Drosophila melanogaster: one gene and its partners. The protein of the gene in region 3 purifies or fractionates together with the protein of the main gene of each other region. This does not show direct contact. Each region holds a gene or a part of one and is shown on either strand. Other genes may lie near its edges. The genes, in order: Mec2, Vha68-2, Atpalpha and Mcad.

Region 1 (4,671 bases), on a different chromosome or scaffold from region 3:
AGACCGTGTCACCAAGCATATAGCTGTACATAACATTCTCAATTGCTTTGCCGCGGACCAGGAGCGCATCCGTAGGCGGCACGTTCAACGGTTGGGACTCATTGGAATTGCCGCCATCGAGATTCCCTGACACGCTGCCACCGTTGGTTGCATCCAGTTCTGCCTGTTGTACCAACAACTCGACGAGCAGCCGAGCCAGCTCTGCCCGAGCCGAATTGTGAACTCCCATGTGCTTTGGAGGCGGCGTCGAACCGGCCTCCTTGGATTCATCCTTTGTCGGCTCTTCCTGCACTTCCTCCTGCTGATCGTTCTCCTTCTGCTGATCGTTCTCCTTCTGCTGATCGTTCTCCTTCTGCTTTTCCTCCTCCGCGGGGAAACCACCTGTGTTCTTGTTGTTGGGGCTGTTTTCTTTGTCCGCCATCGTTTAGCAATAAAGTTCTCTTGCAAAAGTAAACCAAATGAATTCACGTGCAATCGTTAAATGAAAAATGGCGGCAAGTTTCCGATTGCTGAAGCTGCCAGCTAGTGCGAATTGCATTTATTAAAAAAAAAAAAAAAATGAATAAGACATTAATATTTTCAAACTCTGGCAACGCCCTAGATTCAAATCATAGGTTGGTTTTCGGCCAAGCGTCCAGTGCGTCTAAAACTATGTTATCTGACTTTTCTGGCGATTGCTTAAGTTCCGGTGGCGGGCCCATCAAGTGGGCATATTTGGCCAGATACGGAGTAAGCAGCTCCATGGGCAGAGGAAAGATAATGGTGGAGTTCTTCTCGGCGGAGATGCTGCTCAGGGTTTGCAAGTAGCGCAGCTGTGATGACAGAAAAATTCGAATGGCTGGTAATCCGTGCTCAACGATTGATTTCAGCTTTTACTAGGACAACACCCACCTGCAAGGCCGATGGACTGGCGGAAATGACATCGGATGCCTCCTTGAGCGCTGTGGCGGACTTCTTCTCACCCTCGGCGGCGATCACCTTGGCACGAGCATCACGAGCTGCCTCCGCTTCGGCGGCCATGGCACGCTGCATGGAAACGGGCAGGGAGACATCCTTGCTGTCAGCGGGTGAAGTGCATACAACGTACAGATGTTAAGAAATACTGATCTGATCTGATGGATGTCAAATGCCTACTAAATGGCTACTTACATCTCAACGCGCTCCACCATGACGCCCCACGGCTCGGTGGCCTCGTCCAACGTGGCCTGCATATTGTGGGCCAGGGTTTCGCGCTCGGTTAGCAGTTCGGACAGGTTGCGAGTGCCGACGATATTTCGGAGCGTGGTGGCCGCCAGGAGGCGAGTGGACATGCTGTAGTCCTCGACCTGGATGACCGCATAAAGGGGATCACTGATGCGATAGTAGACAACGGCGTCCACAGTGACCGTCACGGAATCCTTCGTCAGCATCTCCTGCTGCGGCACATTGAAGGTAACCGTGCGCAGGTCCACCTTGCGGTACTCATCGATGCACGGCAGGATGAAGAACATGCCGGGACCACGAGCTCCGCCGCTCAGTCTGCCCAGCCGGAAGATGATCGCCCGCTCGTACTCCGCCACCACCTTGAAGCATATGAAGATGGCGATGGGCGATGTGATGATGAAGATCAGCACGGAGAACAGGGTGACCACCCATTCCATGCAGCCCTTGGGCTCGTTCTCCGCTGCAATGGGATGTTAGGAATATGAATATGAAATATTCATCTACAAAATGGCCATATTTCAGGCATATGTGTACAATAATTGTGCCGCAAGAGAAACGTAGATAAGTCCACTTCAATTCGATGGCCAAGATGAAGTACCTTCTTTGTCCGGATTCCGAAGAGACCAACTTATTATTAAGTAAAACAGGACTATGATGGACTATGTAACAACTTGAAAAAGAGAAAGCTGTGAAAAGCAATAGCCATCACAATCAAAAAAAAGAAAACACGGATAAACACCAATCAGCCCGCTTATCTTGGAGTCCAATAAAAATTCCTACGATTAAAAATATAGACAGGTGTAATATATATGCGCCAATACAATTAGAATGTTGTAGCAATTGACGATTATGTGGGATTACGATGGAAATCAAATTGCTACTAGTACTACTTTGATAAAGCGAGAGATAGTTTGTATTTTTAGAACTCCTATCTAGTGAATACTATTAACCGAATCAAGCGGTTTTGCATGTCTGAAATATTGTAGAATGCTTTGAGCCAAAAACAAACTTTTCACGCGATCAAAATGCTGTTGCAATCTTATCTGAACCAGCGATTCCAAGAAATCGTATCTCAATCGATCTAAAGTGATTAGCGCTTGACAGTAAGCAAAGACTTGTTTTTTTTTAACAATAATAATTCTCCTAATATTGGCCGGGATGGGTCATCATCTTGCTGCATCTATAGTATACACCGTTTCCGCCCGCTTACAAGTTTTGAATCCACGATACTGCTGCGTGGTGCCGGGCACTCGAAGTGCCGGCTCGGGTGCCATGCCGGCGGCGCCCATGTTGACCATGTACGCCGTGGAGCTGGCCGGCCCAGAGTTGCGCATATCTTCGTAGTTGGCGTACACGGGCGAATCCTGGTGCGGCTCCATTGCTGTTTCTCTGCTCCGTTCTGGCCTACGTTCGTTGCTCTCCGATCGGCTATGGATTCGAAACTGTCGCCAGCGGTCAGCGCCGCAAAAGCCAAACTGAATGCCCAAAAGCGTTCTCACGTGATAAGAGCGCACTGGTTCTCTCAGATACGAAGTATCGCATTGGCATTATCGCTACGCTGAGCTGCCGAGCGGCTTAAATGCGATTCAACAGTGAGAGAAAAGAAGCACTGCACTGAAACACCACGAACCAAGTGTGCCGCCACTGAAAGAGGCGATCTCTAGTCCGTACATCCTCCACAGCAATTGAGCACATGCCATATAAGAGAATGTAATGGAATGGAATGTAAATGCATCGGCTCGTAAATTTTCGTTCAGTGTAGTGTATCTACGACCGGGGAAACACCAAGAGCCGCTCTGTAAGTCGAGAGCCATGGGTCACCACGGATGATTCACTGCACTGCGCCGAAAGAATTGCCAACTGGAGGCGTACACTTTCAGATTATTCCGACCGACGATCAATGAAAGCCGAGTAAGCTCTATCTGGCCCAAGTGCGTTTAGCACTTTAATCAATCGGTTATCTCAGCTGGAGCATTGAGACGCAGTTCTGCTTTGGGGTCACGGGTCATTGGCTGGAGCCACCCGATGGTGACTCAATTCTGATCTGGCGGTCACATTAGCACTGAAGAGCTTATCTGCCACACTCGCTGAAGTGGCATGCAAATCTGAGTTATTTAGATAAGCGAAGAGCAAATATGTACATACATATATATATATCATATATAAATGTAAATTTTGTTGTTTCGAAAAAGGGGGAAGAACTGAAAAAAAAAATGTGTTTTCTGAATCATTTGGTTTATTTAAATGGTTAGCTTTTACCCTGGTTTGTAGTTAGCTATTGTTATTAATTCTTAAGATACAAACAAATAATATTGGTTATTTTAAATATAACGTCTCTACTTAAAACGACTGTGAATGAAGAAGGAAAAGCCTTGGAAAAGCCTCAGTTACTATTGCATACTAAATTCGACATATTAGAATAAATTCTAAAAAAAAAAAATTTATTTTTAAGTCCGAACCATGTTTGAATCTCTCCAGAATCTAGGGAATTCCATGGCACTTTCATTCGAATTCATTGGTGACTCATTTTCCGGATTTTCCGGACAGTTCCGCTTTCTGTCGCTGCTGCCGCCGTTCCACTAGAGCAAGAAACCCACGATGTCGTCATCGTCATCCGCCGCTCCCGCTGCAGCCGCTCCGCTTCGCTGTTGCTTCTGCTGACGCTGCAGCTCGCAGCGATGCAGTGCCTCCAGATATGGTTGCAGCACCGACATCGAGCGTCACTGGTGGTGTTGGTGCGGGTGTCGATGGAGTGGCGTGCCAGGAGCCGCAGGATGTTGTTGTTGTTGGTGCTGATGCTGCTGCTGTTGCTGTTGCAGCTGCTGCTGGTGTTGCAGTTGCAGCTGCTGCGAGTGTGCTTGGGTATTCAGGAAGGGCGTGAGCAGCTCCATGGGCAGCGGGAAGATGATGGTCGAATTCTTCTCGGTTGAAATGCTGCTCAGTGTTTGCAAGTATCGCAACTAAGTAGAGAAGAAGATGGAACGAATGAAACCATTTGGGCCAGTTCCAAATGTCCGATGGTTGGATTCAGATGGAAGAAGATGACTCACCTGCAGGGCGGATGGACTGGCCGAGATGATCTCGGAAGCCTCGCGCAGAGCCCTCGACGACTTCATCTCGCCCTCGGCGGCAATGACCTTGGCCCGCGCCTCCCTCGCTGCCTCCGCCTCGGCGGCCATCGCCCGCTGGAGGGCAGTTGGCAAGGATACGTCCTTGCTGCAAGCGGATCATGGATAGAGTGGATCATGTCATGATCACATCACGACTTTCGGCAGTTGGCTACTCACATCTCCACGCGCTCCACCTTAACGCCCCAGGGATCGGTGGCCTCGTCCAGGGACATCTGCATGGTGTGCGAGATGGTCTCGCGTTCGGTCAGCAGCTCGGACAGATTCCTGGTGCCGAGCACATTGCGCAGCGTGGTGGCCGCCAGGAGACTCGTCGAATGGCTGTAATTGTACACCTGGA
Region 2 (6,393 bases), on a different chromosome or scaffold from region 3:
CGCCATTTTGACACCGAATCAGAATCCGAAACACTCAGTCACTCAATCACTCACACACACACACTCTCACACACATACGCATACATCTGCAGTGAGGGGAATCCCCGTTCACAGGGCTGATAGAAATTTGCAATGAATCGCAGGCAGATCCTCATGCCACATGCACTGCTGCCTTATTATGCAAATGCTGCGACTCGAGATGCGCTCTCGCTGCCTGCCAACGTCATCGATTTATAAGTTATGCAAAGAGCGGGAGCCAGAACTCACACACCTACCCTCTGCCCCTGGCGTGTCCTTCGTATCCTTCGCATCTCGGGAACATAGAGGCTTTCGCTGTTCGACTTCTATGTTAGCATGGCTTTGCGTTGTAGTTGCCACTTTTGCTGACTGCAATCCGAAAATTTAGCTAAATCAAGCTGAGTGCAGCGACACTGAAAAAAAAACTAGCATGGACTCAAGAACTAAAATATTTAAATGAGGTTTTCTAGCCATATTATGATTTAAAAGAAGTACAATTATGTTGTTACACTCACATGTAAAATATCTAAGATAATAATATAATAAAAAACAAATTAAATGGTTAAGTTATATAAACATTAAACTTCTTATAAACATATAGTTTGGTTATGCGAATTTCTCAATATTTTCAATTAGCACATTCGTTTTCCTCTTTAAATAAGGAGAATCCACTTAAAGAAATCTGATAATCGCTGCATATTGTGCTATTTATTTTATGTTAAAAAAGTATATTCGCAAGAGCATAAAAACAATCTGATCGGGTTAATCTTAACTTTTTCGCTGCTCCATTCTCATTGATTACTACAGCACAAAAAAAAAGTGGGGAAAGCGTGGAATCCTAACTAGAAGAACGGAAGATAGAATAATGGATAAAAAACAAAGGGGCAGGGCAGCAAAAACTTAAATCATTGGCAAATACCTTTTTACGATGCGGATTTTAATCAAAGTTTTTGCCACCGCTGTCAGTTTCTTTTTTTTACTTAAAATGGTAATAAAAAAAAAAGGGGAAACGACGATAAATAAACATTTTAAAATAATTGCTAACGGCGTGTTGTTGCGCTTTAGTGAACTTATTAGTCTACCCTCGCACCGGCCAATTTCCACAATTGATTAGTTTAAAATTGCATTTTTTGGACATTTAAATGGGAATCTAATTGATTGCCATTTTTATTGAGAGCACTTAACACTATACAATGGCAGGTTTTGTATTTAAGCTATATATTCCTCGTTTATACAGTGTCAAATTAATTATTGATTTTATAAGCAGCTAAGAAAATGATTGTTTAATTTGGACCGATTGATCATCGAGGACTTAAAATGGACTTAAAATAATTGGATATTAGCAACTTTGAAAAGATCCCGTTTACTCCCAAAACTTCAGAATCAACCCACGAACTTCTTTAAGCCAGTGTGACCCCACCCGCTCTTTAGCTCTCTTTCGCTCCATCTCGCTTCCGCACATCGATTGGCGAAAGCTTCGCTCGCACTCGATATCAGCTCACAACTTCGCTTGCAAGCTCGCCGCGGAAAGCTCGCGATCACACGGGTCGAAATCGAAATCGAATCGCGGTAGAGAGCTTTTCGAAGTGCGAGCGTCGACGTTTTATTTCTGCGGCTCAGTCGGTTTTAGTTCGTTCTGTTGGAGAAAAGCAGCAATCACACGTTCGCAAGGTGAACGCGAAGACACAGCAAAGTAAGCCCTTCCCCCCCACCAACACACACACCCACCCAAAGCAAATAAGTAACAATAAATAATGGAATGGCTGGAAGACGGTTCTGGGCGATTTAAACAATTAGCGAAAGAAAGCGGCATTGAAATCCGTCTTGAATTCGCCCCGAAAAAGTGACGAAGCAGCGATCAAAGCGCAGAGCGAAAACACGCACACAGACTGCAAGTGTGTTAGATAATAAGTGCAGCACAAGTCCACACTTGAGTAAAATAATCCCTAAAAAAGCCGAATATCAATTAGTTTTCCAAGGAGCTTGAAAAAGTGCGGTATGAAAACGTGAAAATTTGCGCGTGGAAAATTATTTTGCCTTGTCAGCTGACCCCCTTCCCCGTGTTCGCTCCATCCCTGTCGCACCGCGGGTCTTGTGATCGCCGCCGCTCTTGCGCTCGCTTGCTCTCCCATTTCGAAACTCGAAACAGAAGTGGGAGTTATTCGTATTCCGATAATGAAAAACCAATATGGAGAACGAGCGACGTAAAAAAGGCGGCCCAAAGATTTTTACCATTTCCCTTACCCACTTTTTTTTCATTTGTCAGCTGACGGCAATGACAGTAGTCTTGTGATCAACGTCAAAAGCAATTGTCAAATATTCGAACTCGAATGGAGAGCGAGAGAGCCAGAGCGGAGAGTTGCTCTCCCACTCCACCCTCTCTTGTTTTTCTTTGCTGATAATTATGAAAACCCGCATATTTTGAAAAACATGCATTTCAGTTACATTCCTCCGTTGAATTTGTCAACCTGTGGTTGTTTTTTCACAGCTCTTATTTTATTTATTTAGCGATTAGTTTGACAAATTGCTCTCTTCGAACTTTCAAAGCTCTGTCACGTGAAACGAAAGCTCTGCTTTTAAAGTTTTACGCAGCATAATCAAAGAGGGGGAGTTAAAAAAAAAATAATTAAATCAATCGAAATTATTAGCTGCTAACCTACAACTTTATAACCTATAATCGAAAAATTTGGGAGCTGTGGGCTCTACAAAAACTTAACCTGTAAATGTAGCAGATACACCTGCCCCTTGTCAGCTGACAGAGGGCTGAGCAAGAAATTAGTGATAAGAAAATGTTCACCTTTATCTTCGCCCTTTTGCAGCCAGCATTTAACAATTTTCCTCTTCTATTTTCCCTCCATTGCAGTCGAAAAAACAGAATAAAGCAAAATGTCCAACCTTAAGCGTTTCGATGATGAGGAGCGTGAGTCCAAATATGGACGTGTCTTCGCTGTCTCCGGTCCTGGTAAGCACCTAACTATACTGACTAACCATAACTCATGCTATCTAAAAGTTAATAAAAATAAGTTAATAATACCTGTGAACTGGAAACCTTACTTTGATGATTAGTCTAGAACTTACACTTCTGTGTGAAATAATGGCAACTTTAGAAATGTGTCCACCTATTTGTGATTAATATTCAAACAACTCAAACATTTTGGTTTCATTATTCAAAATTAAATGTGAATAATTTTAATAATTAATTAATTGTTTCTTTAAACTTTTTTCTATAATTCTAACAAAAACATCATCAAGTATCATTAATAATAAAAAATTTTAAAAGAAAATGTTCAATGGAACCTATCTTCGTTTGCTGAGTTATAAAAACTTCTTGAATGAAATGTAGCCCCCCTAACCCGACCAACCGCTTCATTCCAGTCGTCACCGCCGAGGCCATGTCTGGATCAGCTATGTACGAGTTGGTCCGCGTCGGCTACTACGAGCTGGTGGGCGAGATCATCCGTCTGGAGGGTGACATGGCCACCATCCAGGTGTACGAGGAGACCTCTGGCGTAACTGTCGGAGATCCGGTGCTGCGTACCGGCAAGCCTCTTTCCGTGGAGCTGGGACCCGGTATCATGGGCAGCATCTTTGACGGTATCCAGCGTCCCCTGAAGGACATTAACGAGCTGACCGAATCCATCTACATCCCCAAGGGTGTGAACGTGCCCAGTTTGTCCCGCGTGGCCAGCTGGGAGTTCAACCCCCTGAACGTCAAGGTCGGCTCCCACATCACCGGAGGTGACCTGTACGGTCTGGTGCATGAGAACACTCTGGTCAAGCACAAGATGATTGTGAACCCCCGCGCCAAGGGAACAGTGCGCTACATCGCCCCCTCCGGCAACTACAAGGTCGACGATGTCGTCCTGGAGACCGAGTTCGATGGAGAGATCACCAAGCACACCATGTTGCAGGTGTGGCCAGTGCGTCAGCCACGTCCCGTGACCGAGAAGCTGCCCGCCAACCACCCCCTGCTCACCGGACAGCGTGTGCTCGACTCGCTCTTCCCCTGTGTCCAGGGCGGTACCACCGCCATTCCCGGAGCTTTCGGTTGCGGCAAGACTGTGATCTCGCAGGTGAGAGTCCCACAAATTGAGAATTTAAGGAGCGATGCCTCGTGTAGCCTCCATACACTCAAGTTTCATAAAAATACAATCCCTAATAAATCATTTACTTGCTTGCAGGCTCTGTCCAAGTACTCCAACTCCGATGTCATCATCTACGTCGGTTGCGGTGAGCGTGGTAACGAGATGTCTGAGGTACTGCGTGACTTCCCCGAGCTGTCCGTGGAGATCGACGGTGTCACCGAGTCCATCATGAAGCGTACCGCCCTTGTGGCCAACACCTCCAACATGCCTGTGGCTGCTCGTGAGGCCTCCATCTACACTGGTATCACCTTGTCCGAATACTTCCGTGATATGGGTTACAACGTGTCCATGATGGCTGATTCCACCTCCCGTTGGGCTGAGGCTCTTCGTGAAATTTCTGGTCGTCTCGCTGAGATGCCTGCCGATTCCGGCTACCCAGCCTACTTGGGAGCCCGTCTGGCCTCCTTCTACGAGCGTGCCGGTCGCGTTAAGTGCTTGGGTAACCCCGAGCGCGAGGGATCCGTGTCCATTGTCGGAGCTGTGTCTCCTCCTGGTGGTGACTTCTCCGATCCCGTGACCTCCGCCACTCTGGGTATCGTGCAGGTGTTCTGGGGTCTCGACAAGAAGTTGGCCCAGCGCAAGCACTTCCCCTCGATCAACTGGCTCATCTCCTACTCGAAGTACATGCGTGCTCTGGATGACTTCTATGACAAGAACTTCCCCGAATTCGTGCCGCTGCGTACCAAGGTCAAGGAGATCCTGCAGGAGGAGGAGGATCTGTCTGAGATCGTGCAACTGGTCGGCAAGGCCTCTCTGGCCGAAACCGACAAGATCACGCTGGAGGTGGCCAAGCTGCTGAAGGACGATTTCCTGCAGCAGAACTCCTACTCCTCGTACGATCGCTTCTGCCCCTTCTACAAGACCGTGGGCATGTTGAGGAACATCATCGACTTCTACGACATGGCCCGTCACTCCGTGGAGTCTACGGCTCAGTCTGAGAACAAGATCACCTGGAACGTGATTCGTGAGGCAATGGGCAACATTATGTACCAGCTGTCATCCATGAAGTTCAAGGTGGGTTAACACGCAAATTTATCCATTGCCTAGACACTGGGTGACCACATTTTTCAATCCATTTCAGGACCCCGTTAAGGATGGTGAGGCCAAGATCAAGGCTGACTTCGAGCAGCTGCACGAGGACCTGCAGCAGGCCTTCAGAAATCTGGAGGACTAGAGACCGCGCTGGCCCTACTTTTACACTCTAATCTTATATTTGTTATATAGTTAACGTTTAAAAATGAAAGCAGTCAAAAACCATCCGAAAAAGCCTAATCAAACACCAACAATTCCGTGCTGCATTCGATGAAAAACAAAAGTCCAACAAATACCACAACTTCTTGGTGCCTGCGAGAGATGTAAACATTCCGGCCTGCGGTTAATACTTTCCCCTAACCACGCCCCCTCCGCCCCTTGAAGGGCAACTCTAGGCAACAGCAACTACAACGTCCTGCTATGTACTTCCATTTACAACAACAACACCAACATACACTTGAATAAAAGTACACGGACACTGGCGCACACACAACACATACATAAAAGACACAAATACAAATGCATGCATAAATAGTATTATTGTTTAATGAATGGAAATTCTTGTTTATTTGTGAAAAAAGTCATGTTTTCTCCCTGTTTGTTTGTTAAATTTATGTAAATATTTAAAGTATGAAATATTAAATGTACGAATAAAGTGCAACAACAAATACATTTAATGTAATTGAAAGTGAATTTCACTGGCAGCAGAATGGATATTAAAAATGTGTCAACTCGATAAAAAGATAATAAGTTAAAATATTTTTTTGAATTTTAAACCTTCATTATATAAACATACTTGACTATATGAAAGCTAAGAAAATGGGAATATATTGAAAAGCATAATCTAAAATCCTATATCATTCTCAGTCATCACCTTAGTCTTTCCATAAACTTCTGCCCCATTTATTTTATTTATTTGACAATATTAGTAAAAATTGTACCAAGTGAAAAAATTGTATATATTTAAACCAAATGGAAAAGAAGTCCTGGGTTGCACCGCTTACCTCGTTCACCAACAGTAACGCAAGTAACGAAGACAGAGCCCGCAACTCGGGATCGTTAAACCAAGATGGGGAGCCAAGGTCCGTGCCTCACCCAACGGTTCCGGCTAAGAAGTGCACATGTCCAACCTGCGCTTGCCAACGTAATGACCATAAATCCAATCCGGTACCCCCTCCCCCTCAATCACGCAAGCCTG
Region 3 (4,823 bases):
AGGTTATTTGAGCCAAAGCCAATGCCAAAGCAAAAGCAAAAGCGAAAGCCAAACCCGAAGACAGTGGCAGTGGCAACAAGGCGATTTCCCCTCAGCTTATGTGGGCTCAATTTTGTAGTCGAGCCGGCTTCCTTCTAATGGCCATGGGATATTGAATCGATTGACGGGGCCGCAGGATGAGAGGGCGGGCAAAAGGATGGGCAAAGTGGAAAGTGGGTTGCTCTGCAGCTGAGCGAAAAGTCGTTTCGCCTAAGCAACCGCAGCCCCTTTGGAGCTGCTTCCTTGTTTGTGCTCGTGTCGACAACAATTGATTTCAAAATATTAATTAACCGGATAAACCAATTGAAGCTTCCGGAGAAGGTAAGGGCAAATGAAACCGTGCAAACTGTGCTCTTTGTAAGAGTGTGCAAATTTGGCATTTCCTTGTAATTGGTCACCGAATTGATCAATTGAATGAATCTGTAGAAATTTAGATGCCATTTTGCTGGGAAGCTAACTTAGATAGAACATGCTAGCCTTCAAGAACAAAATGACTTGAGACATCTAATTATCCTGATTATATTTGGGGTTTAGAGTTGCGATAAATTCAGCTTCGACCAAGTGGAGGTCAGCATTTCGGATGATAAAATGAGATCTTGTGCGGACGGAGATAAGTTTTCCAAATGCCTGGTCGTTTGGAGGATTGTTATGTTTATAGCTCCATTACACTGACAAATTGGAAGATCTTCGTCTTGAGTTCCACATCGTGACTCGTACTTATCAATAGTGTTCTCAATTAAATTCATAATTTAATTATAATCAATTACGCGGTCTGTTGGTTTCGGGCGAACCTTCAGTTGGTGCTTCCAATGATAAGTTGCTGGATAATGATGACGAGGGGTATCAGGTGTATCTTGAAATTTAAGTATAATTTAATTAGTTTAAGTAAGCTGAACTTATAATCTCCAAGATGCGTTTTTCCCCACAGGATCGTCGAATTGCTGAGCCTTCGAGAATCTCTGGCCCGTTTGAAGCCATTCATCGCAACAATGATCAACGATCAATACTGAACATAGGAAATAAATTTGAGAAGATTCAAGTCCAGTTGAACATTTCTTGGAGAGTAGCTAATTTATACGTTTAACGAACGCCATCTACACTTCGTTCTATCTGCCACTTAAAATTATTTTGCTTATACAGCGCCACCTATGTTTGGAATGCAAGAAGACGCGCGTATTGTATTTGGTATTTTATTATCTCTTGAAATTGAATACACATAACTATAACGTTGGCAACTCTCCATATCTGTAAATATTCAAGATGGCAACTATCGTAGTGTGTATATTTTAATCTGGCAGCTCCAGTAATTTTCACGCTTGCAGTTGATATAAAAAGTACATAAAAGTATGTTATTTCCAAATTGAGGTGAAAAATTAAACATATTTTTAACTTGGTATTTTAAATTAGCAATTATTAATGAGAGTATTGAAATCCAAACATATCCAGATATTAATATTTGAAGGTAGCATAGTAACAACTTTCGGTAAATAAATATCCAGGTATATTTAAAATACTTAACTTTTCATTTTAAATAAACCAGACTGTTCGGACTATTGACAAATTATAATAGTAATTTTATTCATAATGCAATATTTACAATTACATTTTCTTAACCGATTGCCATCCCGATTTCTACACCGGCTTATTCGATACAATAGGCCGATAACTCTCCATTTGGTAGTCACGACTTCTAAAATATCGATACGTTGGAATTGTGTAAATTTTCCACATCCCTGGGAATAATCGAGTTAAATTAAAATAACATGGCGTTAAGGTCGGATTACGAGGTGAGCAAAAATAAAGCCTGGATTACGATGAAAACTAAGTTAGTTAAGTGAGAAAATGGTTAAGTTTAAACTGTTGTTAGACCATGACGAGGGAACCAAAAAGAACCAGGGCCAAAACAAATTGGCCAAGTGATACGCTGAGCGGGCGTTGTTTTTAGTGGGAAAAATCGAAGCCCGAGTGCGCTGTGTGGGTGTGTGCGTGTATCTGTGTTGTGTACATTGCTTTTGGTGTTGTTCTTGCTGCTGCTGCTGCTACTACTATTTGTTTTGTTGCTGGTGAAAAAGCGAGAAGCAACGACAACAACAACAAAGCCGAGGCGACGCCCAACGAAGTTTACTAATTTGTTTGCGGGCTTTCGGTAACTGCAAACGGAATCGAATGTGAAACGGGGCGCAGTTACTAATCCTATTGGATCTGGATGGGCCTATATCCGCTTACCTGCTGATCTGTAAAAATAGCCTGGGCTTAGAGCCTGGCTTTTGACTTTTTTCTCGAATTTGTATTCGCTCTCCCTTTCTCTTGCTCTCTCTCTCTCTCTCTGCCTCTCTGTCTCTCTCTCTCTCGCTTTCCAGGTGCGCTTAGCTGGCATGCGCAATTTGCATTTCCAGGCCGACCAGTTTCCCAAATTTTCCACTTTCCCGGCGCGAAAGCTTTTCGCTTTTCCGTGCTTGGAAATCTTCCAGTTTTCGGCTTACATAACCGGTACTGCTGCCGCCCCTCCCGAACCACGCCCCATTCCGCCGCATCTCGCAGATTTCATTATTGGAATCTCGAGCTCTAGAACGAAACTACCCTGCATAACACGTTTATTTTTCCATTTTCCGTGCTTTCCCTCCTTCCGGAATTGGTGTCATTGGGCCGAGTAGTGCGCTGCTAATTACACACACTGGCACATTAGCGTAAATCGACGTACTTCTTACCGTACTTTTTTCTCAGTACGTAGCCCTTACTTTCCCTTCCCTACCCCCTCACCATTCGATTAGTTACTAAATGCCCCACCGATGACGCCACTTAATTACCCCGCAGAAGGTAATGAGTTCTTCGCCAGGGTTGTTGTTTCCACCCGGGCTTTCGGTTCTGTTCCTAGGGCTAGACCACCAATTCTAAGTCCGTATTGCCAGCTCTATTGATTTTGGGGCTTGTCTAAGGGCAGGTCACACACACGCACGCACCCACACACATACTGGTTCGACGGCCCGAAAGTATGCAAAACTATAGAGCAAGCGGTCTGAATCCACTCGCAACAAACAGTGGGTCCAGATATTATTTGTAACGGGAAAACTTGAAAAGAACGCTTAAGACCTCACTTAGACTTGAAAGTGTCTTGTAGAATATATTTAGATATTATTATATAATTATTATAATATATATTATATTGTGCATATTTGTATTGTTATAAAATTAAGTATGTAATTCCAAAATTACGTCTTTATTAGTATTGTAGTGGTATGCATATTTTAAGAATCAAAATAAGTTACGCAAATTATTTTAAGTTTAAAAACATTTGTGGTTGGGTTTATTGGGTTGGGTTTCATACAATTAATTTTATAAAATATGACGCATTTCCCAACGGATTTTCAAGGGCAAATTCTGATGATAATATTGTTGGTGTAGAATACAACGTTGCATAATTATTATAATTCAATCTGCCGGACTACGACATCTTATATCTTAACCCAGTGTGCTCAGTGGAAATTCTATTATGATTTCACGCACAAATCCGCGTAAAGCTGAGTTATGTACGAGTATATCTCACATCCCCCCACCAGCGTTGTGGCTTCGTTTTGTATGCTGACTCATGCGCTTTCAATTGAAGTCAATTTAAGAAAGCACATCAAAAATCATGAAACTACAATCTGACGATGCTCTAAGAACGCGATAATGAAGTTCCCTTCCTCTCAATGTGCGTTCCATAAGTAAATGATTTGGAATTAAGGGCCAGCCAAAACGAGAACTAGTTGGTATATGTATGTATGTATGCATCTACCCGTTTATCAGTCGAAAAATGCAGATAAAGCAATTAAGAGTTTATGGAGAGGACGGCAAATAAGCTGAATAATGTGCTTCCAACGTGGTAATGGCAGGTTCTAAATGCTAACACCCAGGATTTGAATACTATCAGCAGTTATCAGCGTTGACATGTAGTACACACACCTATACTATATATTAACCAGATATTTTGTGCACCCGAATAGACGGGCCCCTTCCCTTTTTGACCAGTTTTACCCGGCTCGGAGATTTTAGGTTCGCGTTAACTACTTAACAGATTGCCGATGGCAGTAAAAGCGACAGTGATAATAATTACAACTGGAAAATACCAGAAAACCGTCCGACAGAGGTGGTGACTTGCTTTCGGCAATCAAAGCGTGGCAGCAAAACAATATTGGCCGTTTTAATTCAATTACGCGCCAATAAAAATCTAATCAACTGACAATGGCAAACCGTTTGAATAGATCTTGTTGGAAAAAGCCATCTACGCTATGTGGGCATCATCAATTGGCGGCCATAATCGCAAGATGTGGAAATTATCACCTCGCCCATTGACTGTTTGCTGTCACATCCAGCACACAGATTGCATTCGACAAGGACTTCGATTTGTTTCGCTGCGGTGTGATATTTGGCACATGCCCAGTTTGCGTCAATGGGTAGGGTCTTAATTACTAACGATTGCATAACCCGCTATTAGGGGTCTGGGCCTCCAGTTTCCCAGGTATCGGTATCTGTATCTGTGCCTTTGCGCTATATTTACCTTTCGTCTGCTTATCAGATAACACTCGCTCGACCAACACTTGTAGATTAAGTTCTAGAGCGGTACGTTGATTTATTTTCGTTTTCGTTTGTTTTCGAGTTGGTCTCCAGCTTGTAGGTCTCTCAAGGTCCATCGATCATTACCCTTCAGGGGTGGCTTAGTTCCGAAGGGGTAGTTTATTGTCCAGCTACCTGAAGTAGCTGAGCCGGAGCTCAACAATGGCTCAATTGTTCCTGTTCGCCACCGG
Region 4 (4,277 bases), on a different chromosome or scaffold from region 3:
GAGTGCTGCACACCCACCTGATGTCCGTGGTGGTGAGGAACATGACCTTGGGACGCCTCCATCAGCGTTGGCTGGATGTGGGTCACAAACTGGGCCATTTTGCCGCAACCTTCAACTACTGCTCCCTTTTTGTTGTGGTTTCTTTGAGGTTTGGGCTTAGGTAACACTTGTTTAAAATTTCACTCCTCTATGAGGCGGTTTTTTTTTTTGGGAAGGCGGGGGTGGCACTTTTATATGTATCCCAAAAGTGGGAGTGGGTAGCACAAAAAAACACACACTACGGCTGGCTTGCGGACGAGTTGTGGGCGACGGAGGATTTGGGCTCGGACCGTGGACAACCTTCTCGCAGGAGCAATGTCAAATGACTGACTAGGAGCAGCTATCCCAGTTGGGCCTTAGACGCCACAGGACTCGCCACCCGCCATCGCACCACCCGAACCACTTCGGCTCCAGCTCGGCTGTGCGCGTTCGTCCTCGTCGTGGCGGAAGAGCTTTAACCGGACCCAGTTTTATGCGCCTGGCCTGGCTGATAAGAGATACCACTCGCTTCAACGGCTGATTACGACTTTGGATGGCTGCGGATGCTGATTTAATGATGTCTTCGTGCCGCGCCACGTAGTGCTCTGTTTTTTATATCTGCCTGTCAACTGTGTCACGGATTTCCAATTCGTTTCGCTGGAGATTTTTTTGTCGCTGGGAGGCGGGGCTGCAATCTGTTATTTTTAAAACAGCCAGAGGAACATGTTCCGTCTATTTGTGTCAAGCGGGAAAGTATGCTCCGATTGTTAAGCACCTAACAGGTGGCAGCGAAGTCTAACGACTAGGGACTATCCTGTTGGTTCTTATTTTATTATTTAACATATCAAATCATGTTTTAAATGTTTTGAATATGGAAAAATGGGGTTAAAAAGTTAAAGCGAATGAAACCTATAATTATCTAATTGTCTCTACATTTTATTCTAAACTAACCAAAATATAGTATATTACTATTTAATATGAATTATCCCTCAATGACCTCTGCCGACGAACATTTTCAAGCCTAATATACCCGATTGTATTATTTTATACCTATTGCCCAGAAGCAATACGTTACGTTGTGAACTGAAAGCTTTTACCTTACGTAGATTGCTGGGCATTACGTTAAAGCTATGTTTTATTAAGCTTATTTCGTAGGGTATTTCGTGTGGTACATTGATATCTTAAAAAAGGGGGTGTGTCTCTTCATACACATATGCCTATGTACTTGACAAAACCTGGATGAAATGTACAGTTGGTATTTTAAAAATATTTTACAATACAATTTATTTATATAAGCATTATATTACAATTAAGGCGAGGTACAAACAAATTTGTTAACTCTTCGAAAAGCTTTGGGAAAGTTCCATCAACAGCGCATACAAATGTCTGCGAAATCTTCCCTTATCTCAACCTCCTGCATATATTTGTAGGTGCATATGCTTGTAGTTCGTTCGTCACCACGATTCTGTAGCTTTTGCGACTGCCAGCGCAACAAGGTCCAATGTCCAAGCGTCGCTGCCATATCGCGATGAACCAATGTACATATGTATGTACATATATAACATCGCTATACCGGCGCATCGGCAACTCGTTTGGATCATTTCGCTGGCAGCCACCGACGAGTTAGCAAGGCGACCTAGTTAAAACTCAGGAAAATACGAAAATAAACCCACATTCAAATGGCGTTCCTCAACAAGGTGAGCATATCAGTCAATTTACAACGCAGAGAAAGTGAAAAACACATCGCTGGGACATATCATATCCAAAGGTCCAAAGTTCTATCACGCTAGTGACGACAGCAACTGTTGATCGTAGGATCATACATACATATACATATGTACCTACCAACAAACATATATTCGAGTGGGTTCCGTTTCGAAAACAATTTGTTGCTGCCTATCTGTTAGCAATCATCTGTACTTTGCCCCCCCTGAGAAAGTATTATTAGCGGCGTCTAATGGCGGCTTATCGTGCACTCTATTTAAATCGGAATGCAAACTTTATGGGCAGGCATATTCGTTATCTGTTTTATGAAAAAAATAGAATGTGATGGTTGGTTATGAACCTCAAACATCCAAAGTCCCTTGTAAATATAAAAAAAACCTTCGTCTATGATCATGATGTTGTATTAATTAAATACATACGTAGTTGGCCCATTTTATTTGTTGCTTGTAGTTAAGATTAATTCGCGGTCAACTTTGTTGTTGTTCTGATTATTTCTACATTTTCATTTTGCATTTCGATAAACACTTGTTTACCAGTTGACTTTAAATCCGATATCCAATATCCGAAAATCCAGCTTGCTGCGCCTGCCCTGCGCCAGTTGGTGTCCCAAAGTCGCGCCTACGCCGCCGTGTCACACGTTTCGCCCAATGGCACCTCTTTCGCACTCACCGAGGATCAGCTGCAGCTGCAGGAACTGGCACGTAAGTTCACCCGTGAGGAGATCATCCCGGTGGCCGCCCAGTACGACAAGAGCGGCGAGTACCCGTGGCCCATCATCAAGAAGGCCTGGGAACTGGGCCTGATGAACAACCACATTCCTGCTGATATTGGTGGCCTGGATCTCGATGTGTTCACCACCTGCTTGTCGGCCGAGGAGTTGGCCTATGGCTGCACTGGCATCATGACCGCCTTAGAGGCTAGTGGTCTGGGCGTAAGTTTAAAGTCATGTCTATTTACGGCAAGATGATCGAAACGCCACGTTCTTTCATAGCAAACTCCTGTGATCCTGTCCGGTAACAAGGAACAGAAGAAAAAGTACCTGGGCCGCCTGCTGGAGGAGCCACTTGTCGCCGCCTATTGTGTTACAGAGCCCGGAGCAGGATCCGATGTGTCCGGCATCAAGACACGCGCCGAGAAGAAGGGTGATGAGTGGGTAATCAACGGCCAGAAGATGTGGATCACCAACGGTGGTGTGGCGAACTGGTACTTTGTGCTGGCCCGCACCAATCCGGATCCCAAGTGCCCGCCCAGCAAGGCCTTCACCGGGTTCATTGTGGAGCGCGACAGTCCCGGACTAACGCCCGGCCGCAAGGAGTTGAACATGGGACAGCGCGCCTCCGACACGCGTGGCATCACCTTCGAGGATGTGCGCGTGCCCAAGGAAAATGTGCTGATTGGCGAGGGTGCCGGTTTCAAAATTGCCATGGGCACCTTTGATAAGACGCGTCCTCCAGTTGCTGCCGGAGCTGTGGGTTTGGCCCAGCGTTGCTTGGATGAGGCTCTTAAATACGCGCTGGAACGCAAGACCTTTGGCGTGCCCATCGCTTACCACCAGGCTGTGCAGTTCATGCTGGCTGATATGGCCATCGGTGTGGAGACATCCCGTCTGGCGTGGCGTCTCTCCGCCTGGGAAATCGACCAGGGACGCCGCAACAGCTACTATGCCTCCATTGCCAAGTGCCATGCCGCCGATATGGCCAACAAGATTGCCTCCGATGCCGTCCAGATCTTTGGAGGCAACGGCTTCAACAGCGAGTATCCCGTGGAGAAGCTGATGCGTGATGCCAAGATCTACCAAATCTACGAAGGTACTTCTCAGATCCAGCGCCTCATCATTTCCCGAAACATGTACGAGGCTGCTAAGGGTCAAGCCTAAGTCAGTTTTAACTAGGATTCCTCATCTCCATTCACCTCATCAGTTGTCATGCTCATTGTAGACACATTCACAAATCCGATTAATAAAGTACAATAAGTAAATAATTACAAGAAAATATAAATCATTGATTGTGATTTGTCTGTTGAGGGAAATGTTGTATAAATGGCACTTGGTAATTTCTAAGGAATTACTTATTCCTCAAGTGTATAAAAGGAAGGAAGAAGTAAGCAAACAGTCAGTGCGTTAGTATGTTTACTAATTCTTAATATTTCAAGTTTCTCTAATCTTGCCCTCACTTACCCCCAAAATTGTAGAGTCTAGACCATCGCAAATTATTTCGCTAGCTATCATCCATTGATAAGATAAGCCCTGTGGGGGCTGAGTGTTTGTTCTACTTAGGTTCAACGAATCGCTGTTCTGCTATCAACTGAACGATAAGACTTACTGTACTTAGATTTGCTATATAATTGTCAAACAATAAAAAATGCTCTGGGACATACAACACAAGGAAATGGTTTACACATGATGAGACTACACTATTCCGCATCGCTTCCATCAGCGAGTAGCTTAAGTAGACCTTTGTACCGCCTTCCAATTTTCCGGCTATTTGATGTGGTCAACATTTTGGCCTTGTCTCCAAATTGCAGCTGCCAAATGG

The links.
Region 1: the proteins of Atpalpha (region 3) and Mec2 purify together in Drosophila melanogaster (affinity purification with mass spectrometry, with the first as the bait; one large-scale study listed by BioGRID). This does not show direct contact.
Region 2: the proteins of Atpalpha (region 3) and Vha68-2 purify together in Drosophila melanogaster (affinity purification with mass spectrometry, with the first as the bait; one large-scale study listed by BioGRID). This does not show direct contact.
Region 4: the proteins of Atpalpha (region 3) and Mcad purify together in Drosophila melanogaster (affinity purification with mass spectrometry, with the first as the bait; one large-scale study listed by BioGRID). This does not show direct contact.

The regions. Positions count from the first base shown.
Region 1 is NC_004354.4:19,186,026-19,190,696, reverse strand, and holds Mec2 (Mec2), read right to left. Parts: upstream 2,663-4,671; 5' UTR 2,583-2,662; coding exon 2,414-2,582; intron 1,664-2,413; coding exon 1,150-1,663; intron 1,058-1,149; coding exon 892-1,057; intron 813-891; coding exon 609-812; 3' UTR 504-608; downstream 1-503. Other genes in the region: HP1D3csd (heterochromatin protein 1D3 chromoshadow domain), read right to left, coding at 1-421; CG33253 (uncharacterized protein), read right to left, coding at 3,924-4,163, 4,254-4,419, 4,491-4,671.
Region 2 is NT_033779.5:12,972,733-12,979,125, forward strand, and holds Vha68-2 (vacuolar H[+] ATPase 68 kDa subunit 2), read left to right. Parts: upstream 1-1,589; 5' UTR 1,590-1,711; intron 1,712-1,889; exon of another isoform or gene 1,890-2,014; intron 2,015-2,453; exon of another isoform or gene 2,454-2,491; intron 2,492-2,669; exon of another isoform or gene 2,670-2,737; intron 2,738-2,881; 5' UTR 2,882-2,904; coding exon 2,905-2,980; intron 2,981-3,393; coding exon 3,394-4,091; intron 4,092-4,199; coding exon 4,200-5,177; intron 5,178-5,244; coding exon 5,245-5,337; 3' UTR 5,338-5,875; downstream 5,876-6,393. Other genes in the region: Vha68-3 (vacuolar H[+] ATPase 68kD subunit 3), read left to right, coding at 6,168-6,393. UniProt on the Drosophila melanogaster protein: Catalytic subunit of the V1 complex of vacuolar(H+)-ATPase (V-ATPase), a multisubunit enzyme composed of a peripheral complex (V1) that hydrolyzes ATP and a membrane integral complex (V0) that translocates protons.
Region 3 is NT_033777.3:20,947,004-20,951,826, forward strand, and holds the start of Atpalpha (Na pump alpha subunit), read left to right. Parts: upstream 1-1,776; 5' UTR 1,777-1,802; coding exon 1,803-1,826; intron 1,827-4,823. UniProt on the Drosophila melanogaster protein: This is the catalytic component of the active enzyme, which catalyzes the hydrolysis of ATP coupled with the exchange of sodium and potassium ions across the plasma membrane.
Region 4 is NT_037436.4:7,717,743-7,722,019, forward strand, and holds Mcad (Medium-chain acyl-CoA dehydrogenase), read left to right. Parts: upstream 1-1,607; 5' UTR 1,608-1,697; coding exon 1,698-1,715; intron 1,716-2,156; exon of another isoform or gene 2,157-2,317; coding exon 2,318-2,674; exon of another isoform or gene 2,675-2,734; coding exon 2,735-3,619; 3' UTR 3,620-3,730; downstream 3,731-4,277. Other genes in the region: CG7457 (uncharacterized protein), read right to left, coding at 4,156-4,277.